Linked DNA regions of Lepisosteus oculatus. The protein of the gene in region 2 purifies or fractionates together with the protein of the main gene of each other region. This does not show direct contact. Links are inferred from orthologs where the notes say so. Each region holds a gene or a part of one and is shown on either strand. Other genes may lie near its edges. The genes, in order: gpc1a; trifunctional enzyme subunit alpha, mitochondrial.

Region 1 (12,801 bases), on a different chromosome or scaffold from region 2:
ACAGGTAATGGCCAGATGTTACCCATGGAGAATGACCCTCTGTAAACATAATCAGTGATTTTGATCAAATATTATCAGTGATCAGTGAATCTAGGGTAGCGGTTCATGATCATACAGGGCCAACATGAATACATCACTTGCACAAAGCGCCTCCAATCCTCCCAATCATTAAGGGCACAGGCAACTGGCTATTGGTCACAACAGGGTGTAGAGAGGCATCCTGAATATCTTCACTGAAAGAAACCTTTTCAGTGTTAAAAGACTCTGATGAGACTACGCCACCCATACAGTAAATAATGGTTTTACATCACATTAGGGCATCACACCGATTACAAGTCTTTCCTCAGAGCGACTGCAAATTATGTGCAGTGTTTTGCATTATGTGGCAAATTAAATACACAAACAAACTTCTTGATCAAATATCAAAATGACAAACTGGAGATCTTTGTTCTTGCAAGTGCTGTGGTGGACCTAAATATTGTATTTAAAACAGTACTTTGATTAATGTACTTACACTTTAGAAAGGCTGTTCTATGACAGCTTTTTTAAGATATCACTGATAAGGCAGTGAAAGCTGCTTCTTCTGTGAAAAGCTTGCATGGATGCTGCACATTGGTGGTGGTGGAGGGGATCCCTATTACCTGTAAAGCGTTTTGAGTGGAGTGTCCAGAAAAGCGCTATATAAGTATAAGCAATTATTATTAATTATTATTATTATTATAGTGAAAAATGGCTGAAACATGTATTGGCTGTATTGATAAAAGGGTTGATCTTTATTATCTCTTTCTCCATCAAACCTCTATCAAATCAAGAAATCTGCATGTTCTATGTGAAAATGTTCCATTCCCTTTGTGAATTTTGGTATGTTGTTTTAAACATAAACTGTTAAAAACAATAAGATTTTTGTCAAAGTGCACGCTTTGTTTCTAATTTACACTAAATATGTGATGAAATCTCAAGACTCTAATGACAAAAATAACCAAAAGATAAAAATGCTCTTTTTGGAGGTTAAATTAGGCAAGGGTAAAGAAACCATTGCCAGGTTACAGTACATGAGGGCTGGGTTTAAGCAATTAACACATTTGTCAGCTCTCCATGAATTTTTAAAAATGTATATGTTAAATATAAAATACAATGGAACTGCTATTAGTAAAACAGTTATATTTAAGTACAGATCAGAAAATTGTTTAGAGAAAATCCATATTAGCCTCTAAAGAGAAACTTTTTTTATTAATGAACCACTAAAATACTCCTAATAAGAAGAAATTAAAATGAAAAAATATCCCTCTTATTAAAAACTGCATTTTTCTTTCCTTGCACCTTATACATAAGCTTTTTATACAATCTGAATCGTGACAGCAGACAAAAAAAAAAGATTTGCTTAACAGCACAGTACTTCATCCATACATCACCCTCTCAATGATGCCAAGTACAATTTTACTAGTTCACTTCATAGTATCATTGGATAATTAGTACAGTAAGAAGGTTTGTAGTGCACCTCCTAATGACTAAACCCTAAGTGCCTAAATTAACCTATGAGTTCATGATGGTTATAAAGTGAACCAAAACATGTCAAAGCAGCAATTCTTGCGCTTTGTAATTTTTTTGTGGGCACTGTGGACAGTGTACAGTATGATGGAATATTGAATATTGAATATACAATATAATATACTAAGTTGGTATCAGTGCAGTAAGCTTAAGAGTGTTTAAGACATCTTTCAACCTTTGTAATTCTCATTTATCACCACATATTCTATTAAACTGATTCGGATGACTTAGCAATGAGCTGAACGTGTACAGTAACATAAATTTCTGATTCCTCGTCAATTTTTCCAACCTTGTACACTGCGCATGCTCGATTTTCCCCTTACAGATTCCCAGAGGGCATCAAAATTGCGTCCAAAGTGTGGAAGAGAAGCAGGTGTTTTATTTTTAGAACATAATACTGCATCCATCCAGTTTCAGTCCGCTTTTCCTCGAGAGGGTTGCGGAGCACTGCACTTTGTTTCAGTTAAAGTACTACAGTGGCAGGCATATTTTATATGAAAATTTTAAAAATCCAGAAGTCTTTATCTTTTACTGTGAAACCCAGTGTTTTGTAGTTTCACCTGCGTAATGTTTTTTTTTTCTCGACAACTCAGTGAAGTTAAATACAGTGTAAGATTAGAACGCCCCCGCAGTTAGGAATTGAACATTAACGGAATTAAGTACATGTAAACAAATTGGTCAAATACTGTACACAGATTTACAGACATAAACATTCTTAGGTCTTACTGGCACGCAGATATTGTTCAGGACAATGACTCGCTGGAGTCAAGGCATAGCATACAGTACTGTATGAGACTTCCCAAAATGCCAAAAGGCCATCTCGACGGAAGATTCGGACCAATCGAAGAAATCTTTTTTTTAACACAGGGATACCCTTGATCCTAGAAGGTAAAGTCGTCATATATAGTTTATATCAAAGCATTAATGCTTTTTTGGACGTTTATGGTCACTTACAGTAAAATACAGAGAAACACGAAGAAGACTGCAATCAATTCTACAGTAGGGTACCAGATACAAGCAACCACATAAAGACTTGGAAAACAGTGTATCATAGTAAATATATAGGAGGATGATTTATTAATAATGGATGAACACTATCATACACTGGTGATTTTATCATTTTTCTGTGTGACTTCCAAAATATAGAAATGTGTACACACTCATACAGTAAGTGTACAATATCTCACAGTTCGTCGTGCCTGTATAAACAATACAAATATACAGAAATAGCATCGAAGTCCATTTTGCGTTACAGAGGCCTAAACATTCTAAACATTTGAATTACTTGCCTTAACTTTACTATCGGCTTTACAAAAAGTCGAAAAACTGTGCCAGTTGATTACGCGTGCAAGACGTTGCAGCATTAATACCATGCACATACAGAAAAAGACACAAATATGCTACCCTAATCCGTTCAATAGCTAAGGTAGAAAAAAATGAAAGATCAACAGCTGTCATGTGTTGCCACAACGTTCCACTTGCTAAATAGGACATTTTGACAGAGGATTATCAGGCATCAAATTCTGTTGCATTTAATATCTAAAGAACATTTTGACAGGAGGACAACATCCATTATATTATTATATCTTCCTTCCTACAACTCCTATAATAGTCTTGATTTAACAAAGACAGGACATTCTGGTGGAAGATTCAAACCAAACAACTATTGCTACAGTACTCTATTGCATAAATAGCTTAAGCAGTATTTTTGGTGAACGAAAGTATATGATTTAATACAAGCATTCTGTGTTTTAACCAAATATTAATAGTTATTTGTAATTATATTATCCTCAAAATAAAGTTACATTGTTTTCCGCACTATAAGACTAAAACATGTTCCAGTTAAAAAGCACGTCTTTCAGAACTACCGTACTCTGTTCCAAGATACATTTCTTGAATGTTTATATTCCGAGACTGCAGGTCGTAACATCTGAGTGGGTGGCTAAATTTGACATTACACTGGTATTAATAATAGACTAGCAAAAGGTCATTGCAAACAGGCGTTTATGAAGAGGTCTGGTGTGAAGCTTTAGGCGAAAAAAAACGCAACTGCTAAATGACTAACTTAAGACTTCAGATAATGTAAACGTGCAACGTTTTTCAGCACGCAATTCGAGTTATTGAGCCAGCGAGACCCGAGCTTAGATTCTTTCTCAGTAAGATACAGTCCACCTTGAATGCTTCATATTGTTGCAAATATTCAACACAAGGTCTTCCAGGGGAGCAAGACCAAGCCTGGCGTTTTCATCTTCCAACTAAGCGTGAGAATGTAAATAAAATACTTTAAATTTGTGCATAAATCATAACTGCTTTCTTTAAAGGATACAATCTGTATTCCGCAGTATATTCATGATTTGTACTAGTCCTCCTGTTTTAAGGAATGTTTTCAGTCGAAAGGGTAATTACATAGAATAAAGCAAATCTTTTACTTCAAAAGCTTTCGATCTTAAGAGTTTTAAGTGTGGTATAAACTTCAAAGAAAAAAAAACAGCACATCTTTCGGATCAATGGCACTTTGGAGCTACAGTAGTTATGACTCCAGTTTGTTTATAAGCGATTTAGATTCATATCCCCGCCTGATTTCTTTAGCATATATATATATTCAAAAAAACTGCTCAATATATATGGGTGGCGCCACGCGTCTCGATTATTTATACATCCTTTCCGAAACACCAAATGTAGTCAACAAATATCCAGTACGAATGGGACGAAAGTAGAGATAGATACAGTATTCTGTTTAGCAACTAAAGGCTATTGCATTGAATTCGTAACTCTTCAGTACATGCTTTCCTTTTAATAGCGGGAAAGGAATAGTTACTTCATAAGGTTAGATACTGTATATACAGTATGTACTGTATTCTTCTTTGAACTGTCGTGGGAAATCATTAAATGAGTGTACAAAACACGATCGCCATGCACGCACAAGTTACAGCTAGTCTTACACTATATGATTGATGCTCAGGCGACGTGTTATAAGAGGAATCTCAGTAAATGTACTCTATAGTAGCGTGAGCGTAGATCTTACCCGATATTTCAGTCTGGGGGACTCCGACCAAGTGAAAGCCCTTGCCGCTGTAAAACTGTCGGACATCCGAACAACTCCGGGCTTTACCGCTTGTGTTTTCCCCGACAATCGGAGTGGCGAGAAAGCAAAAGAAGAAACTCAGTCGCAAATCCATTTTCTAGGCAGACGAAGAATCCAGCACAGGGAAAATGTCTAATCCAAAAACCAAGTGAATTCAAATCACCAAAGTCCTACACTAGCTCAGGTATCCACCTGACTTCTCCACTAGTCTGCTATCTTTCTAACACGCTTCAGCTGTGCTTGCGAGACGCCGGCGGATGCTTAGACCGGTCTTATGATTTTTTTTAAAGCTTGAAATAAATGTTTAAATCCAATAATATTCCGCAATATTTGATTCTGCTTTTCCTGCTGAGACTAAGGTAGTTTTATTTCTGTTTTTTTGTTCTTAGAAAAGGGAAGATCTGAACCTTAATTTCTGTTACAGTTCCTTTTTAGTATTTTTCATTTTTGTGTGGGGGAACAAAAATCATCACTGGAACAAAAAAAAGGAAAACACTTCATTTGCAAAAAAAAAATAATCAAAGCATTATCCGAGCCTTAACCAATGTAAAAAAAAAATAGAAAACTAAACAGGCAATTATGTTGACATTACAAAAAAAAAGCGCAGGACTCAGCGTTTTGCGGTGAAACCATGTGAATGCGAGAATGAGATGTTTTGCTGTAGTTAGAATCCTCCAGCTGACTTTATAGCGGTGATGCTTTCCCAGTGCAGCCCCATCGATGACTGAAAGAAACTGGGGAAAGCACCATAGGCAGGGCATAGAGTCCGTTTCTCTCTCTAAGCGTCTGCAGCAGATCTTACCCACAGGATGTTGCATCAAACTACAGCCTCGACCAATGGCGAGAGGTAAGATTTTTTTCGTCCTCTTTCAGTCTCTCCTTCTTATGTATCCCTTGCCTTGGCTCTTTCAGTTCAGCTTGTCTTCACAACCGCTGATTGATTCAGTGGAACCCCTCGGTTTTTCATTTTTAACTGTGCTGGGCGAACACAAATCATTGCTTTCAAACAAGACGATATTTAACTCTGGCCGGAACATACAGGATTGAGCAAAGCAGGCAGCTACGGTGTGAGAAACATGAATGTTTGAGAGGTGCGCACTCATCGCTCACCGTGCTTATAATGCTAAATATTCGTTTATTTTAAAAGGTTAATCCGCGATGAAGAATTGGTTTCATTTCTTAGGATGTCGGGTCTTGTCATTTAGTGGAATAAATAAGGTATTCCTTTTACATACATAAAATATACTGTATGAGCGTAACTATTATTAGAAGCAGCTGTTTACCTACTGTACTGTACAGCACGCTTTAGTCTTCAAAATGTATATTAAACCTTTGAAACCATTTTAAACGCCCAGTTCTAGATTCACTTCTAGGCTGTTAATGCTACTTTGTTTAGCAGATCAAACATAAGCCACACAAAAGAGGAAATCAGACTGTTTCTTTTACATTTTTACAGACATTAGACCAATTGCCACTGATCAAGCCGACTCTGGATAAAAAAATAACTTCTTCCCAATATTTCAATAGAGCTCATCTCTTGCAGTCTCAAAATCAATTTTGATGCCCGTCATTAAAAAATCTCCAAGACTTCTACATCCTTTTTATGATGCAGAGCCAGAATTGAACGCAGTATTCGTCTTAGTCTAAGTGGAGCATGTGCAATTCATCATAACCTCTCTGGAGTTGTGTTCAGCATTCTTTCATATACAGTATACCCAAGAATCCTATTTGCCTTTTTAATTGCTTTTCCACGATGCCTAGGAGATGACAGTGATGAATCCACTACAACACCTAAATCGGTTTCCCACAGGGAGCCATCCAGTTCAGTGCCACACATTTTATTCATAAGATGTTCCACATTACAAAGGTATTGATAAGCATCATTTTGCCAAGCTGTCATGATTTAAGTTCATTAGAAACAGAGCCAAACAAACAAGGAGTTTCCACAATTTAAATAGAATTCATTAGATTCCTGACAGCCCACATAATTCTCATTAATAAGAGTGGAAACTGTTGGGGCATACTAGTAATAGGGTTGAGCTAATCAATCCATGTTCATTACAAAAACATTTCTTACCCAAACCTACAATGGATTATGTTTTCTGTTGCTACCTCACAATACAAAAGCTAAAGTTAAAATTATTGTTTAGTTTTAGCAAGTCAGGTAACGGTTGAAGAAAGTTAACATCCTATTCGTCAGTGAGATTATCTGTTTTGTTCTTCTCAGTGAATGCCTCCCTGAAGTTTATTTGCTATACAGTATGTGCTGTTTGCAAGTGTCTACATTAGAAGACTTAGAAGACATCATGACATATTTTTTTTAATTAAATATTTTTTTCTTTTTTCTGGCTCAACCAAACATTCCAGATTTTAGGTAAAACAAGTAAAATGATCTTCAGAACAAATACATTTTGCTTTTTGTCATGATTAAGCGTGTCATTCCAAATTGAAGCCTGAAACAGAAATACAAAAAAAAACATTTTCTCAGGTCTGTGTACTCACTTGGGAAAGATAAAGTTAGAGGTTTTATAGTACTAGAAAAGCATGACGTAATAGTAAGTTAGGAGATAGAAAATATAGTGTATATGTATTTAGCTAACAAGTGTCTTTTTCCCTTCTTTGAAATAATACACAATACACAATACACAAAGCTGTGACATGCTGGTGAAAGATTTTCTCAACAGGAAGATTTTCAAGTTTCTACATATTTGCAGAGCATGGGCAGTTGTCTAGAGACTTCAAACAAGCATCAACTAGTTTAATAAAATCATACAAGGAGAGTTAAAAGAAGCACATAACACTGATTATTCTAAGTAGGGGTTGTGAAGAAATTATTTCTGTAGTTCAGAAAGTCTAGTAGTAAATTAGTGTTTGTAAAGTAATGTGAAGCAAGAATCCCAAATTTTAAATATTCAACTTTGGTAATAAAATAATAATATAATGAATTTGCTGTGGTACAGTTTCAAGTTAAAATATCTCAATCTATACAAAGAACGCAGCGTAAAATGTAATTTGACGTTTGCTGTCTTAATTTAAGAATTTGAAAATCTTTATGGACTATTCATTTATAACTTTGAGCTCTAGAACAGAATGAACTTTTTTTGAAGTGAAGAATGTCCTGGGAAATGTATATTATGTACAGTATGCAGCAATTCCCTCATTATTTCCTTATGAACTTTTGTAAAATTGTTACTTCTTTTCAACTAGGTCTCTCTGAAGCCTTGGTGTTTTTTTTAGTTATAAGATTCTTTCTGGTGATTTGACAACACTTTGTAGTAAAAAAACAATATGAAGTAGCAGTAGTAATTTAATACTGACAAAGCAATGTGTGTTGGGACTTTAGCCTTTAAAGATTTAAGTAAGTATCTGAGACTATGATTAAGCCAATATGACAACAGAACTTAATACAAGACACTTAACACTTAATACAAAACACAAAACACATCTCACAAAAAACATTGCCTCTTGGTTTTTTTTTTATTTTGTATTGGCTATTACATTTAATTTCCTGAAACTATTCTGTTCAAACAAACAACATTCTACTGTACATTCACATGTGGCAGAGCTCGACTTTGATTTGATCTTACAGAGGAATATGCCACTAATGAGCTACATTCTGTGTGTGATGGGATTTCTGCACAACAACATTTTGCATTTCCTATCTTCTCTCATGATGTTTACTAGCGACCACCACCAAGAGTCTAGCTTTCTAATTCCCAGAAAATATAATACATATTCTTATTATACCAGAATTTAGGTACTTGATGTAAACTAAGCACAAATGTCAGTTAAATAGACCCAAGAAGCTGAAAAGCATAGTTGTTAGTAGTTTTGCAACTTATCAACTAATTCACTTTACCACATGTTAATATTTACCTGTTCAATGTGCTCTTCATCATTCAGTACTATAACCAATTCATAATCTCCTGTAATGTTATGCCATGGATGGAATGTTTAACAATGCTGACAATAAGTGGAGTACTGTATGTTCAAAGTAAGCACATTCATTCCTGAGGAAATAATAATAACATCACTTTATTAACCCTTTACAATTTCTTGCTTTAGGAATTATCTTTTCACATACCCCAGCTTGCTCTCCATGAAAATAGAACACTACAGTATGTTTTGCTAAGCTTAAGTTGTTTGCTGTTCTGAAGCACATGATGAGCATGAGTTATAGAATTTGGGCTACCACAAGGTTTACAGCACTTATACGTCATTTTCAAATTGACTTCTCAATTCAATGCTACTGAAACACATGCACAAAATGTGGTAGTTATCAATATGTTTGTTCCTTACTTTTTAAAGTAGGCAACCAATCCACACAAAGTATTGCATGGCTCATGCATAATGAAATTATTGAAAATAGTTGCCAGCACAGTTTTGAAACAGGATATGAGCACTTTAGTATAATTTATTCGCATCTCTTTCTCATTTTTTTGAAAACCCCCTAAACCCCATATTTTTCCAGACAGAAAAGTGCAATACCATAGCAAACCACAACAAAAGAACCAAGATGAAGCAAAGCAGAATGTGGAAAAAAAAGCTCATACGCAAATCATGACAGCTTTCATTAACAAAGCTTAATTAAATCAAGGAACATTTGGCATTCATAAAATAATTCTACTGGATAAAGAAACATGTTGATGTGAACGGGCTTTGGAAGTGCTGGTGTAGATTTTCATAATGATGTTAATGTCATAGGGAGTAAAACAAATTGTAATAAAGAAATAGGTGTGGAAACTTGCCTATACTGTAACTACATAGAAAAACTGCCATTGTTGTTAAACCTAAAGAGCCACTTAAAGAGCCATGCTATTTTCACATTTTTTCAGGCAGGGTTTTATAGAATGTAACCATGAAAGAGGGATGACTTTTAATAAGCAATGGGGAGGGAGTGGGTTGTGTTTGAAGTGCAGCTTTCGGGGCAGAAGGGGATAAGGGGGCTACACAGCCATATGTGTCCCATAAGGGTAGCGTTCCTGGCATTAGGAACAGCTTCCGACACTGAGCAAAGAGCTCAAATATGCACAATAATTACAAAGAGCTTCCTAACCACACATGTGCAACAACAGTCTGAATTAGAACACCGTCCTGCGTCTACAGTGACTGTTCAGGGTCTCCTGATCTACTGTGGCAGACAGAGCTTGCCTATCCTAAACTTTAATTGAGAAAGATTTCATTTTCTTTTTTTTTATTTCCTCATTTTTAGAGCCTATTTGTATACATCTTGTGTTGAATTTTGTTCTAAAGCAAGGAAAATGCAATGAACAAACAAAATAGAAGGGTAAAAAAAATCAAGAAGACTTTTCGTAAGCACTTTAAACTGAATTAAAGCATTGCACGCTGATATGATGAGAGAAAGTGCAAGAGGTTTAATGTGTATCCGTATTAATTATCAAGTGAAAATAAGCCGTTACTCTCTCTCGTACACACAAAATCCCCAGTAGAGTTTCGTTGCATCACACTGCGAAGAAAGAAGGTCAGTTTTCACAGACAGAAAAGGGAGGCAAATGGCTGGCACATCAGTAACGCTGGTACAGACAGATCTTGGCAGCTGAGGGCACAGAGCAATTAAGACAGAGAAGACACAGAATGGAGTGCTTGATGAGTTTGGGGTACAGCAAAGATTTATCTTCCTGCTTTTCCTCCACCTGCAAGGTACAATACTTTGCCATCAAAGAATCTCTTGTAAGAATATCCAGGCAGTGGTTTACTTACAGCAGTAGAATTGCACATTACTTATTCAGTGCGACTACAATAAAATTACTTTATCCAAAATATTGCATTACATTGTATTATTCATTTATCACTTCTCCTTCATAGACCCATTAACATTATAAGCAATATGGCTATTAAGTATCCCTGAGATACAGTATATCTATGTTTCATTTTAGTGATTTTCTGATATTTTTAACATATGCTCAAAATGTACACGCATAGAAAAGTTTGAAGCTGGCATGCAAGACTTCCAGGTAAAAACATCTGCTGCTTCTGCTGGCAGAGCCATACTGTACCAACCAAGTTTCTGCCAGCTTGATGCCGCTGTTTGAAAAGACCGATGTTAGTCTGTAACTAAGTAGAAAGAAATAGGCGTGGTAAAACAAAATGTCTGAGTGAGGAATGAGGAATACTTCATCTGAACATGAAGGTGCAAGAAGGATTGAATTACTGTTTACAAAACAGAATCATCATGAGGATGGAAGCACGTAACAGATATTGGAAATATTCATACAGTTTAGGAAATTCTTCCAGACTTGGCATTTACTCAATTCCCATGCCTTTGTATCAAATAGACCTTTTGTCACGCTGTGGGATGCTATTCCAGAATCTTTTATGAAACCGACACCAAAGACAAGGGCTCTAGATCTGCAGGGTCCTCAAAAGTATATAAAAAAAGAGATTCTTCCGAGTTCCTAATCTGAAAATGAGAATCTCCACCTCTAATAGTTTTGTGCAGGATATACTGTAGGTATTTTACTGATGCCACACTAGCATACTACAGGCTTAAAGTATTTATAGAAAAACATGTTCTGGAGAGGAAAACTAAACAAATTAAATCAGTAAGCTGCATTCTACAACAAATGAGAAAATAACTTTTTTAGCTGAGGAACTATAATTAAGTAAATTAGAGACTGATTTGCTGAATAAGTGAAATTCAGCATTCCTTATTCTTGCTTTTCTTAGTTCTTAGTTTGGCTATATAGTACATTCCTCTTTTGTTTTGAATGCCAAACATTTTAATGGCACCGTGAAGAAATAATATACCATATTGAATGTTTCACTTTGTGATTCCCATACTATACAAAACAGCCCCACAACCTTGGTCCTCCTCTGTGGTGGTAGAGTGTGTGTGTGTGTGTGTGTGTGTGTGTGTGTGTGTGTGTGTGTGTGTGTGTGTGTGTGTGTGTGTGGATGGTCCAGTTTGACAGAAGTAGACAGGTGCTAACCAACTGAGACTTTCACTTCTAGGCACACTTGTGATTGTCTGCCACAGGGAATATGCTTAGTTTTAGGTCTTCAGAAGACACCCCTTTCAGACAGCCTGGAACTAAACAAATGCCACACACACATTATTCTTAAACATGCTTAAGGACAGGCATATACAAGTATATAAGTGTCTTATAGCTGACCTATGTTATATTCAGACTGCCTCCCTCATGCATGTAATCTGAACACAAAACACAAAGATCAGCACATTTAAGGCATATTTAAGTGTTTTCAGGAGAGCTTTTAATAATACACAACATAGTACATAAGACATAAGAAAGCACTAAGCTGAAAAGCAGACATTCCACAGTACAGCCCGTGCACTGCCAGTACTGGAAGCAAGAATAGAATAGAGTATTTGTGATTATCCCTGCCGATGCTATTGCTGCACCATCAACAGAAGTGTCTCTTTCAGAGACTAAAGCTCAAAAATGGTAATACCAAGGTGCTTCTCACGAATGGAAATATTGTAGATTCATTTCTAGATTGCATTGTGAGTCATTAATGAAGGTTGGATCCAAGCTGTGTGGTCTCATTGTAATGATAGCTGTGACCTTTGATGTCCTGTCTGATGCTCTACTGTATTCATTTGGTGTAGTCTGTGCTTATATGACCAATTACCTACTGTCTGCATTGAAGCAGAACTGCCACTGGGGCTAATAAATGTATTGAACATGTTAGAGTTGTAGCCCAATGCTTTATGTTGCTGTAATGATCACATTCACAACATCTGCTGGTTGTAGTTAAGCATGAACATGCTGTTGACGGCCAAGACATGGTCATTTATCCCTCTCATTTCCATTATTGTGACAATGCTTCCAGGCTATTAGGTTCATGCGTCATCTTAATTTTGTTTTTGGAAGATGCCTTCATCAGTTTTTGTGAAATGAAAACTAATTTAATGAAGGTGCCATTCTTTCTAACTCAGCTTTTTGGAGCATACAATATTTTAGTAGAAATGAAATCCTTAAAGGTTTGAAAAATGTAACCTCCTAACCTGTTTTATCATTGGATTCACATGAATTTCCATCCTCTAACATTCCTTTCATTCTCTGCATGTGTGTATTGCATTGGTTTATTTTTTACCGTGACCCAAATGAACTTAATCTATTATCTACTAATAACTGGCTTGCATGAAAACTGGACATATCTACAGTACATTAGCAGGTCTCCTCATT
Region 2 (12,675 bases):
TTTTTTTTAGAAGCAGAAACACAGAGTGTGGTATGTTTTAGTTTGCAGAACCAACTGATTTGCAAAACATTTGTCATTTTACTTACCAAGAAAGAAGAATTTGCTGCAGTAACTGTTCCATGGGGCTTCACAAAAGCAGGTTTCAGCTTGCTCATCTGCTCAATGGAGCTTGGTCTAATCCCATTGTCTTTGCTAACAGTCTCCCTTCCTGTTGAATTAAAACCACCAAGAATTAATGATCACAATGACAAATATTATATTGACTGAGATGGTACAAAACAATTTCAGAGCAGCAACAAAAAGTGACCTAGCTGCAAACAAAAGATATTCCGGACAGCAGTATATCCCTTAACGTGGAAATTGAACAGTTCAAGCCTGAAGATTGTTCTGGATCTGGAACTATAATGATATCGGTGTAATTTGGGATATAAGCATTAACAACAGAGACAGAATGCCTGGTATAAGGGAGTAAATATCTGCTGAAGTGCAGAAACCACAACAAATCTTTTCTTGTTTACGCAGGCCATCATGAACAGAAAGCACCATACTCAGCACCTTATCTACCTGGTACTTTGAAGCTGATGACGTCACTGAGAAGACCTGCGTCTTCAGCCTTCTTGGCCAGTGTGTGGGAGCGAAGCGCGAACTCGTCCTGCTCCCAGCGTGAAACTCCAAAGGCGGCAGCCAGCCTGTCAGCAGAGTGGCCCATTGTCTCGCTGGTGGAGAACTCCGCTACAGCTGGAAGCTGCAATAATATCATTTAAATTTCTTTATATTATATATATATAATTATTCCATCCGCCTTGTAGAAAAAGTTAAGAACACGAGTAACATGAGCTGATATGCTTGCAAAGCACAAGAAATAAGAGAAAATTGTTCTCACTGTTTAACTTTTCATTCCAGTAGAGTATCAGCTAGGTACACAATAATGAGTTAATTTTGCCCGCATTAAGCAAACAATTAACAGACAATTACCTCAGGGGCAAGGTAACTGGGGCGTATTTTTCCAAGCAATGCCAGCTTCTGGCCCATGGTCTTGGCCTTGTTCAGGGACAACATTGCCTTTCTCATTTTTCGACTGTGGCGAATAGGAACATCAGACATGAACTCTACTCCACCTGCTACTACGGTGTCACACTGGCCGGAAGCTATCAGACCCACAGCTGCACAGAAACAGGACCAGACTTAGTTTGCAAAAGAACACAAAATGCACACAGCGTTATGCAAAAATCCCAAACACCATACCTCCTCACACTTTCCCTTAATGTTTTTTACTGACCTTTTCTCTTTACAACCTTTAAATGGACAGATGGCTCCAAAGCTATAGGTAACACTTAAATCAATGGACTGGAAGGACTGTTCAAGACAGACAATTTCTATATGATTGTTTTCGGTATGGGATAATATATTAAGTTAAAATTTAATGATTATGACATTAGAATGTCCTTTTAACTTCAATAATACTAAAGCTTTGACCTTCAGAGACAAATTTCACTTAATTAATGTCAACAAACTGCATTTTGAAAGCTTTGTTGTTGCTTTTCTTCCTAAATAAAACATTCATGAAAAGCTTCAATTAAAATCAGAGAAAAGTGTTCATTTTCTTACATGCACAAGGAACCATGAAGAAGACGCTCAGATAAGAACGCTACTGCTATGTTTGAACCATTGGAAAAATTGAATTTTGTGTGTAGTTGAACGCATTTCTACATATAAGTAGCGGAGATACCTGTAGTCATTGCCTGATTAGATGAGATACAAGCCATGGTGACTGTATGTGCTGGAATTCTGTCTGAAAAACCAGCTCCCAAGGCAGCCTAAAACACAGAATTAAAATAAATCAGACATGAAACATTTAAGTGCACAAAGTTTCATATTGGTAAATTCAACAGAGGATTTCACAAAACTGCCAGCACACCTTTCATTACATTTAAATCATAAAGGGTAATTCCTCAAATATTTCTGAAACCTTCAAGCAATCCAACAAACTTTAGAAGTCTAAGAAAAGCACTTAAATGAAATACTGTGTTAATGAGAACAGTTTAATTTACCACAGCAATACATGGAAAGGCTGGAACTTATTCAAGACAGAGCCAAGTGCTGCCAACTAGAGCAAAAGTCAAGCTGTTGTTAAAAATACAGTTAAGCAAAGCAACAACTGCATGAGTATTTTCAATGCTTGGCTAATTGATATCATATTTCAGAAACTTTTTTTATAGCTCACATGAACGATCACTTATCAGTTTCATTTTAATAATCTTACAAACTAGGTGCCTTTTTGCTGGAACGACAACTGGTTATTAGAATTAATCAATGAGTGTTCCCATAGGAGTTCCCATGAAGCTCCATGATTAACATGGAATTCTCCTCTGCATGTAGTGCGGATTCATTTTCGTTCAAGTACACAGATAAAGGGAAGCACGAAAGAATGGATACACTGGATGGCATTTGAGGGGTAACATAGGGAATAAAGCACCATAACACTACAGTACATGGAAAAACTGTAGATTCAATGGGTTTATTATATTAAGACATCACTTCAAAACATTCTTTTGAAAAACACTCAGCAAAATGGGACAAGACTTCTGACATATGTAACCACTCTAAATTCTGATTTAACTATGCATTAAAATGAGTATGCAATGTTTCTAAGTGAACCCTGCAGACCCATGTAATGCTGTACATGTCCAAAATGTTTCTTCTTGCGGTGGTATGATTATAGAGGCTTGAAAATACAGGGTAAATGTACAAAATGAAAATACAGGAAAAATGTGTTTGTAGAAACAGAAATGGAAATCTTATTATATCAATATTACCCATAGTTACAAAGCAGCTATGCAAGAGATACACAGGAAATCCATGGAAAACTGCCAGAGTGCTTCTCATTGTCACGGACGTCCAAAGGGACTAACCATGGGGAGCAGGAGAGCAGAAAAAGACCAATATGCGTAGCGGCGAGACGGGAAAAAGGCCCGGGCTCATTAGTGCAAAGGGTTCAGGAATGCCGTATAGAAACCTATGCCCTCAGGGAGCGGACGTGGGGCGCCCTGGTGCTAGGCGGGTCTCAGGACATCCGAACGTCAATGCTGAGCGAGGACAGAGTGCAAGACCCGGAAATATATAGCCCAAGGGAAAGAGAGGGACAGGAAGGACAGCAGACCGGAAACTAGGGACAGGACAGAGAAGGAGCGCCCTCTGGCTGCAGAGGGTGTGACACTCATAGAAGCACTCCGCATGCATGAACAAAAAGCAAGGAGGGTTGAGATCAGTCTGAAAGTTGATCGTTACCTCTCTGGCAACATTGCTGGTCTTCACTTCCTGGATTACTGTTCCATAAACAATATAGTCTACAGCAGTTCTTGGGATGCCAGTCTTGGTGATGAGCCCCCTGTTGAAAGATGGTTTAAAACTGTACTAAAAAAAACACCTTTTTGATTGTACATATATTTAGTGTTACCGAATTTTCATATTGCCGTTTCCTGAAATCATACCCATTACCAAAGACATTTTCTTAAACGTAACCCCAAAGGAATATTATTTGAATTTTACAATTCATTTTACTTACTGCAACGCTGCTCTGGCCAAGTCATGAGGCATCAAATCACTATACCTAAAAAAATGTCAAAGAAATTTTGTCTTAGCTTGAAGGTAGATAATGACTGGCAAAACATGAGCTCTAATTCCCAACGTTAAGGGTAAAAAGATCACTTAACACCCAAACAGCACAAAATAAATACAAGCGTGTTAAAAAAAAAGCTGAAGGGTACAGCTGTAGCCTCAACTGTTAATACACTACTAGGCTATTTCACATGCATTAGCTTGTAGTCCTACTATCACAATCTATTTAAATATTTAAACGAGCAGCACTTTTATTGACTTCAGGAAAGAAGAATATGTCCTGAATGAACGGATGGGTGGATGGAGTTTACAATTCAGGTGTGTTAAGCTGGATTGTTCTTTTTCAGGGGAAAAGCCTTGTAGCATCTTTTGTCCCACCCCATCGGAAAAAAAAAAAGAAAAATGTTCTGCACGTGAAGAAACAATTATGTTTTCTTTGGGAATTAATCCATTAGTTTGAATTAGTTTGTGCATTAATAACTAAGAAAGATTATACTAAAGACATTCATATTTTTACTTACGTTGTTCCAGACTGCAAAAAAGGGGTGCGCACTCCTTCAACTAGAACGATATTCTTCACACCAGGTTTTGCCAGAGTCTTTTTAGTTTTGGGTTGTACTACAATAATAAAGACAAAACATTCAGAACATTTCCATTCTTACTAATACTAAACATAAAAATAAACTTAACCAAAATAATTGATGGTATTGTCAATCTAAATCATTAAACACATCTTTTGTAAAACACTTTTAAACTTTAGGCACAAAAGCACCGGTAAAAAAGTAATAAGGATCTAGCAATTAGAACAACACAGATTTAAAATATTACATTCTGTCCTTCAAAAAAGGATTTTGAAGAATCAAAGATTTCACACCATAAGAAAGGATAATTTACTTTTAGTCTTCTGGAAAGTACTGTAATTATCGATAAATTATTTTAATTCAAAACCCCCAAAGGTAAAATAAACATTTTGCTAAAAAAACACTTTTCTTTTTTGCACAAATGGCACAAAAGAATTAGACTATACCTTGAGCTTGTAAATGTGATGTCGTAGTCAGTGATCTAGCAGCTGATAAGGATGGAAAATACAAAATATTTCCAAGATTAATTAAAACATCCATTGTATATACACTAAAACCTATATTTAAGAGCTTTCCAATTTTTGTTCTGATATTAGCTATTTTTAATTAATGTAAGAAATTGAACAGATTCAACTCAATGCAAATGAACTGAACAAATTCTATGCAAATGGATTGACGTTATTTTCTGATCATGTAGTTACTGCAGAAATAAATTAGCACAACAGAGCAAATGCTCTCCTCCTGTTCTAAGGTTCTGATCTGATAATAGAAAGGGTAGCTGGAGTGAAACCAGAAGATACCAGACTGGAAATCCCAAATGACAGACTGATTTATTCTGAATTTTATTTTTATAACCTGTTCTTTTTTTCTTACCAAGTTTAACAACCCAGGCAGAATTTACTGGGCAGTTCCTGATGCCATGTGTCAAAATGGATGCCATTTTTGCTGTCCTAAAATGCAGAAGAAAAAGTCGTCAACATTCATTCTCCTTCTGTAAGGAAAATGTAATAGAACCCTGATCTTTTTCACAGTTAATCCTAAGATTGTTAAACAAAGTATTTCACTTACACTGAATGATCATAAAAATCCAGGTATGATATCACGACTTTCCGTTTATGAAGGATTCACAATTTTAGGAAATGCAAAATTTACCAAAAAAAAAGGAAAAACTGATTTAAAGCTTGTTTGTAAATGCATATATATATATAGAGGTCTTAAAAAGAAACAAAACACTAAACTAGATAAATAAATATCTAATAATGTTTAGTGGGGTACAAGTCAAACAGCCCCCACTGTTTTCTGTAGCATTTAATGAACATAACTACAACTTGTCTTCCCTTTTCATAAATGACAACTTCACAACAGTATTAAAGCTTTAAATGCAAAACAATCCACCTGCATTATTTCAATAGTTTTATTTAAATTCAGCATGATGTTTTTTTCCGTGCCTTTTACATAGCAACCACATGAACCTAAGTGAAAGGTTGTTCTCAAGATAATAAGCTTGATTTGTGTGAGAAGAGTCATTTCTTCACATAAAAAGCAGCAGGGTTACAAAAACTTTATAAAACTGTACCAATCCTAATCTATTAAGAAAGAAAATAAAAAAAATCAGTTCAATAATGGCCTGCGACTAGCCCATTTCGTGGTAAGTACTAAAAGTACAAGAATCTCAACCAGCCATTTATTTAAAGAATCTAAGATATCACAGCTTCAGCATGGCTGGGTAGCTTGTTCCAGACTCCCACAACCATTTTGGTAAAGAAGTGTCTCCTGTTCCTGTTTTGAAACGCACTTCTTCTTGTGTCCAATGGTTCATGTTTCACTGTTCATTCTGAAGGATTCTGCTGGGTTGACACTGCCAATGCATGTGAGGATTTTGAATCAGGTTCTGGATAATATCCCCCTATAGCCTTCTCTGATCATAACTAAAAAGTTCACGTTTCTTCAGCACTATAGTGTAGGACAATCCCTTCAGCCCCACAATGTTACTACTCCTTTCTGGATGGATTCTAGAGTAGCAATATCTATTTTATAAAAACATGGCGAGTTAAATTGTATACCATATTCTAAATGATGCTGTCCAGCACAGCAGACATATGACAGGTTTTGGTGTCAAAATTGTTTGACTTCATGGTTGACCTTAATGACATCTTTGAAGTGTTTTTTTTTTTTGCCTTCTGCTTGAGTGTATGAAGTTGTCTATCCAACTTCACACACACAGGGTATTCCAAATGAAGTCTGCATCACACAAATGTTAACATAACCCCCTGAGTTAAGTTCTACTCTTTTAAATATTTATCCTGCCATTTTGATAAAACGATAAGACAGTAAACTGTTCTGCAACGTCACTGCCTCAGTCTACACAAAGAAGCTGCATTCTGTTCTAGGAGACTCAAAAGCATTTTAGTTATCTCTCAAGCACTTCTATATATTTGACATTTAACTCCACCTTTTCAGAAATTCAAGGTAGTAAAACGCATACGGAATTCATATTGTACATTATATTCACAGATCGGGTGTTCCGGAGTGAGAGTTTCCTATCTGGGTGGAAGCACCGCCCACAGCTACACTTGACCTCTCACCTACTTCTCCAACCTCCATACCACACGAGCCTCTGCAATGAAACAATACATTGCAGTTCATTTTGGTTGGAAAAGTAAGGTCTGTGATAATCCAATCCACACAATTCAAGAACTGTGTTCCCTTTAATGGTTACACAAATCCCGAGATTAACAAAAAAGTGGGGCACTTCTTACTGGTAAAGAGAACTTTCAAACGATGTTGGAAATGCAAGGCGCTTGCAAAAATAATACAAAATCTGGCTCCGACAACGCTCGCTTAATTTGGCACGATTTTCTCGATCTAGAATAGAAAATGAATTATTCACATAACGTACCAAATCATAACCAACCTTTAAAAAAATATTAATCAGTTATCGAAAACAGTACCGATTGCAACTTATTGATCATTGTATTTCATTCACATAAAGATAACATCTATACGAACGATGCAATGTTAAACTATTAAGTAAGAGGAGTGTCACTGAAATAGAAGCGCCTGAATTTCAAATTACTAATGTGAAAACTGCAACGCAATGATTTGCACCTGATGTTTCCCCATGACTTAAAAAAAAACAATGCATGCTGCTTTACATACTTCTCTGCTTGTTTACACATGTTTTAGCGCTATGTCTGAAAGCATTACCCGATTTCTTTTCTTTCTGGCGAAATACGCTCACCTTGTCCGTAACGGAATACTCACACGCAACACCCAAACCCTGACTGACCCGGACACAACAAGCCTTACAGTTGTCTCTCTCTAAGGACCTTCGACAGGTTGTGCTTTCCCAATCCTCGCCTGACATCCTTGTGCGGCTCGTTACATTAATGAAATAATAGTAGGAAATTGAACAACAGTACAAACTGGAAACCTTAATAATTTAGAATATTTAGACTTTTATATATATTTAAATTTTACTTTTAGAAGCTTTCTCTTATGTTTTGTCTCAGGCTTATCTGTGGTGTCCTCAACAGATATTAATACTGAAGGTCCTAGTCTGCTTGCCAAAGGTTGTTCTCTCCCTTGTCTGAACTTGACTGGCAAAGATGGCTGGCGTAAGAGCGCTTGGAATACTTTCCAGGTTTGCAACGAGCAGATATTCACTCTTTTCAGGTAACTGAATATGTTAGCTTATTAAGATGCTGGGTGCCACCTGCACCTTCCTCTGTTGCCATTATTGTTTAAGAAAAGAGAAGTTTCTTGGTGCTGGATGAGTGGGTGTACAGTATGCAACTGAAGCAGGTCTGCATTGACCTTTCACCTACTTAAATAGTGACAGTTACTTTGATAGAAATGCACACAGAAGTCATAACATAAGGGTTTTGTTGTGTCTATTGTAGCTGATGCATATAAAATTGAATATTTTTTCTAAGGCAATTTGTTCCTTTATGCGTTTTGCAGTTTTAATTCACCCAGACGTTGCTCTCCTTTTTATTTTTTTCGTGATTGATTTGCTTTCTTTGAGTCTTAAAGGCAATTTCATTGAATTTAATCATGATTATTAGCGTTCTTAATAGTTAATGTTTTGGATTTTTGTAATTCTTTGAAGTAAGTGATTATAGTGCAGTACTACAAACAGCAACGCTAGGAAAAATTAAGACTTTTTCTACACACTGAGCACAAAGACTGAACACACACCAATGTACTCAGTCTTACAGTTTTTGTTTATTCTCCGTAGGGTGTGAGAGTTTTCTTTCCTTATGTGTATTGCATTCAGTTAGTTGAATATGGAGATTTGGAAAAAATACCAGAATGCTGTTAATCACTCTGCAGTAATTAAAGTTACCTTTTAATATGGAGGAGCATTCGTTCTACTTGACTACTCAAACACAGAATTGCTAAAGTATTAAATGGGGTGCCGTGCAGTTTAATATTCAGTGTTAATTATAGTGATCAACTTCTGTGCCTCTGACTTAAAGTTCATAAAAAGCCTATAAAGTATATTCATTTAATTTTTGGAAGGCAAGGGGAAAATCGATTTTATTAAGGCACACTGAGCCTATGTGGAGTGAAAACGCTGTTGCTGTACCTTCTTATACCTTAACATTCATGTCACTGTGGCAAGAGAAAATCACTGCAGTCTTCAAAACCCTTTCAGTTTAAGGCACTTTTTTATTCTGTAAAGATGGGAGAAATCAGTTCTATACGAGGGAATATAGATATTTCATGAAAGAGGTCAGAATATTAACAAAAGTTGATATTGTATGGAAAACATAAAACTGCTAAAAAAGCTATAGGAGCTAAACCATGTAGTGCTCTTAGGTCAGTGCCAGTTAAACTTTATTAAAGTAGTAAAATATGATTATTACTCTAGTTTAATACATGTGTTTTATGGTGTTAACATTTAAAGGTTATTCAGGTAGAGCTGTGTTCCATATTTCACTTTTTGGATTTCCATTTTAAATGATAATTTGATTAACATACTGCAGATTAAAATATTCTGTAAAATATTTCACTTGTGAATGTACTGTAACCTTGATTTAAGCAGTGGCCATTACTAAGCAGTTGCCATTGCCAGTGGTATTGATCTTGTGCTGTGTCACATGTTAAAAAGAAGGACAAAGGTCACTTTCTGCAAGCTTTTTATCTTTCCACCTATAAAAGGAATTTGTGTCAAAGTTCATTGCCTTCTTGCATCAAGTAGACTTGACGACCCCAAGTTGACCCCAAATATTAAAGGGACCACTTACTTCAATGTGATTTTTCACTTGACTTTCCATGTTAAGAGTTTTTTTTTTACTGTTTAGCATTTGTATTATTGAAATGCAAGCTAATTGAATATATAAACCTATACTAATGCAATATTTTAAAGCATTTAAAATGCTTCATTAAAAATATTTTTTTTTTATTCCTGAATGACAACTGTTTTGAAGGTCTTCTCATTTATACTTATAAATGTGACGCATTTGTTTCCCTCAGCCTTCTATATTTAACACTACACATCTTGCCATGGGTATTTTATGAATGTAGAAAGAGATTTGTCCCCAACTAGAAGCTGTAGTGTGTCAGCGGTCACTGGGTAAAATGAATATTAAGGTGTTGAAACAGCTACAATTATCCATCAAGGTTACAAACTAGTCTGATCAAGTACCACATACTGGACTTAAAATTTTGTTAAATTCCAGGAAGTTCTAGAAACATCCAGCAGATAATGTAACAATGTTTTGCATTTAGGGAAAGTTAACAAGGACTGTAAGCAAAAAGCATTTGAGCAGGTGTGGTTGAAGAGCACGAGACCAGACTGAACGAGCTACAGCCAAACAATTCAATGTTAGCACTTGATTCTGCCTTGATGAACCAGAACTTGTGAAATACAGGAGCGCTAAAAGGACTTCTTTTAAACACAGGGAAATGAGCTGTACGGCCAAATTTAAGGAGCTAGTTAAGAACCCATTCCGAAATCCACCAAGCAAAGTTTGTTTATTAGGAGTTTTGATTGGGACCAAAATGTGTCTCTCTTTTCCTCCGTTTAAAGGCAGGCTTTGCCATAGATAATTATTTGGTTTGTGAAATTCACTCGGTTTATCTTGATTGAGATGTATGTATCCTTCAACATGAATGATGCATTCATAGTCTTTTATTTAATTAGCTTGCATTTTGTGCTTCAGATAGTGTGATAAGTTTGTCACTAAAGCTATTGCCTATTTCATTGCTACCACCTTGAGGATAGTACATAAAAAAAGGCCACATGACCTTGTTCATGTGAGTAATTCACCTGACGAATAAGGTGGGTTATTATTCATCTTTAATAAATGTGCTGTTTCTCAGATTGTACTGCCTTGTTTGAAAGTGAATCTTAACGTAAAACCTTAACTACCTACTTTTGCTATTAATACCCCTTATATTATTATTCCTCATAAGTTTTATTTTCTTTCTGTAGGTTATGCGTGCCGCAGCTTCACAGTTTCTTCTGCCATGCTAGGTAACTATGGTCATAGTCTGTTATGTTGTACAGTATGTTTTGTTAATATTTTGTAAAATGGTTACAAATTTTGTTTTCCCTACAGTTCGAACCCATGTCAACTATGAAGTTAAGGGAGATGTTGCAGTTATACGAGTCAACGACCCAAACTCCAAGGTACTTCAAATATATCATTAGACTTTTTTTCCGATATTTCCAGCTTTTTTCTGTTCTGTGTTTTAAACGCCTAGTTTTCAATTGAATAACGTCAAGCTTTACTTTTGATATTAATTTGACACTAAAAACACAATAGCAGCTATAAGTGGACCTTTGGTCTCATTCACTGTCAGTTTTTTTTATCCTAACCAATAAGGACACCCGGTGTAACTGCTAAAGACTGGACATACGCCAGCAGAATCACTCTTTTATACCCACCTACAAAACAAAGTAGGAATGTATTAGGTTTATGAAAGTAAAGAACAATTATGAATATCGTGCTTAAAGCAATGCTCCAAATATAAATGAATTTTTCTAAAAAGTTTGTCCTATTTTGAGACATACTTAAATATGAAGATATAGAAAAACTAAATACAAAAATAGACAGGTAAAAAACATGTAGAAAATATTAGTATAATCTTAATGATTATATAATATGCCATAAAAAAGTGACTTAACTAGTTTTTATTTGTTGCCTATGTAAGGCAGGTTACATAGACGACCATTTTAATACTAAAGGAAACTTTGATTTGTCTTTGTCTTTTGCAGGTTAATGCTTTGTCGGTGCAGATGCAGTCAGAATTAACACAAGTAATGAATGAAGTCTGGACAAATGATGCCGTCAAAAGTGCTGTGCTCATCTCCTCCAAGCCTGGCTGCTTCATAGCCGGAGCAGATATCAAGTCAGTCCTAATTAATAGATTAAATTGAAGCAATTTGTCTGTGTATTTGTTGTGTCCTTTATTACCGATAAAAATTATTTTGCAACGCCATAGAAGTGACCGGCGGGTTTTTTTTTCATTTGCCCATTTTGGTGTAACTCTTGTTCAGTATTTTATGTCCAGATCCTGTCCGCTTCTCTTTTAGTTCGTTTTTATTCCTTTTCTTGCAGCATGATAGAGGCCTGTAAATCTGAAGCGGAAGTGACCAAACTTTCTCAGGAAGGACAGAAAATGTTTGAGAAGATTGAAAAGTCCCCCAAACCCATTGTTGCTGCAATTAATGGATCCTGTTTGGGAGGAGGCCTGGAGGTTAGTTTTCATTCAGTTACACACTCTTCTGTTTTATGAATTCATACCCAAACTACAGAAGTGCTTGATTTATGAAGTTTCACTGCAGCAAAGCTCATAGTTTAAAACTTGTATTTTACTGCAGACTGTGATTTTTACAAGGCACTTCCCTTGTGATGTCAGTTATTTTGCTCAGTAATTTTTGTAATTACAAAGGGATCGATTGTAGTTGTACACCTGATTTTTAACATCATGCCAGCAAAATACATTGCAGGTGCTTCAGTTGTAACAAAAGCAGACATGAAGAAGAAAGCAGTTCCACTACTTTAAAGAATTAAAGTGATGGAAAAAATCCAAGCCAAGCAGTTGAAAGACATTTGCCTTACCATGAGATGAGCAGCACTGTGCTGATCTTCATCGGTTCGCCATTTAAAAAACATGTTTACTGCTACAACAAGATAAATAAGATACCGATGAGAAACCTGCATAAGTGTTCTTATTTTGACAATTTTTATTTTGACTCACTTCATTGGTGAGTGCGTTGATGTTTTGTATTTTGTTTTTGTTTTTTCTTTTCAAGTTTGCCATTGCTTGCCAGTACAGAGTGGCAACAAAAAACAAGAAGACAGTTCTTGGTACGCCTGAGGTTATGCTGGGCTTATTGCCAGGAGCTGGAGGAACCCAGAGACTGCCAAAAATGGTATTGATGGAAATGCATCAAGATTCATTCTTCTCATGCATATTATGTGCTGTGTGTGTTCCACCTGTAGATTGACTAAATTATTCT

What was found.
Region 1: the proteins of trifunctional enzyme subunit alpha, mitochondrial (region 2) and gpc1a purify together in Homo sapiens (co-immunoprecipitation; 3 studies listed by BioGRID and IntAct, with this or other methods). This does not show direct contact. The link is inferred for Lepisosteus oculatus from reciprocal best matches to the Homo sapiens genes HADHA and GPC1.

Annotation. Positions count from the first base shown.
Region 1 is NC_090708.1:10,789,992-10,802,792, reverse strand, and holds the start of gpc1a (glypican-1), read right to left. Parts: upstream 5,419-12,801; 5' UTR 4,728-5,418; coding exon 4,574-4,727; intron 1-4,573. UniProt on the Homo sapiens protein: Cell surface proteoglycan that bears heparan sulfate. Binds, via the heparan sulfate side chains, alpha-4 (V) collagen and participates in Schwann cell myelination.
Region 2 is NC_090697.1:47,014,675-47,027,349, forward strand, and holds the start of trifunctional enzyme subunit alpha, mitochondrial, read left to right. Parts: upstream 1-7,764; 5' UTR 7,765-7,807; coding exon 7,808-7,874; intron 7,875-10,641; coding exon 10,642-10,683; intron 10,684-10,768; coding exon 10,769-10,839; intron 10,840-11,427; coding exon 11,428-11,561; intron 11,562-11,770; coding exon 11,771-11,909; intron 11,910-12,468; coding exon 12,469-12,588; intron 12,589-12,675. Other genes in the region: hadhb (trifunctional enzyme subunit beta, mitochondrial), read right to left, coding at 87-208, 565-745, 976-1,163, 1,730-1,817, 3,289-3,388, 3,566-3,610, 4,140-4,236, 4,646-4,687 and 1 more. UniProt on the Homo sapiens protein: Mitochondrial trifunctional enzyme catalyzes the last three of the four reactions of the mitochondrial beta-oxidation pathway.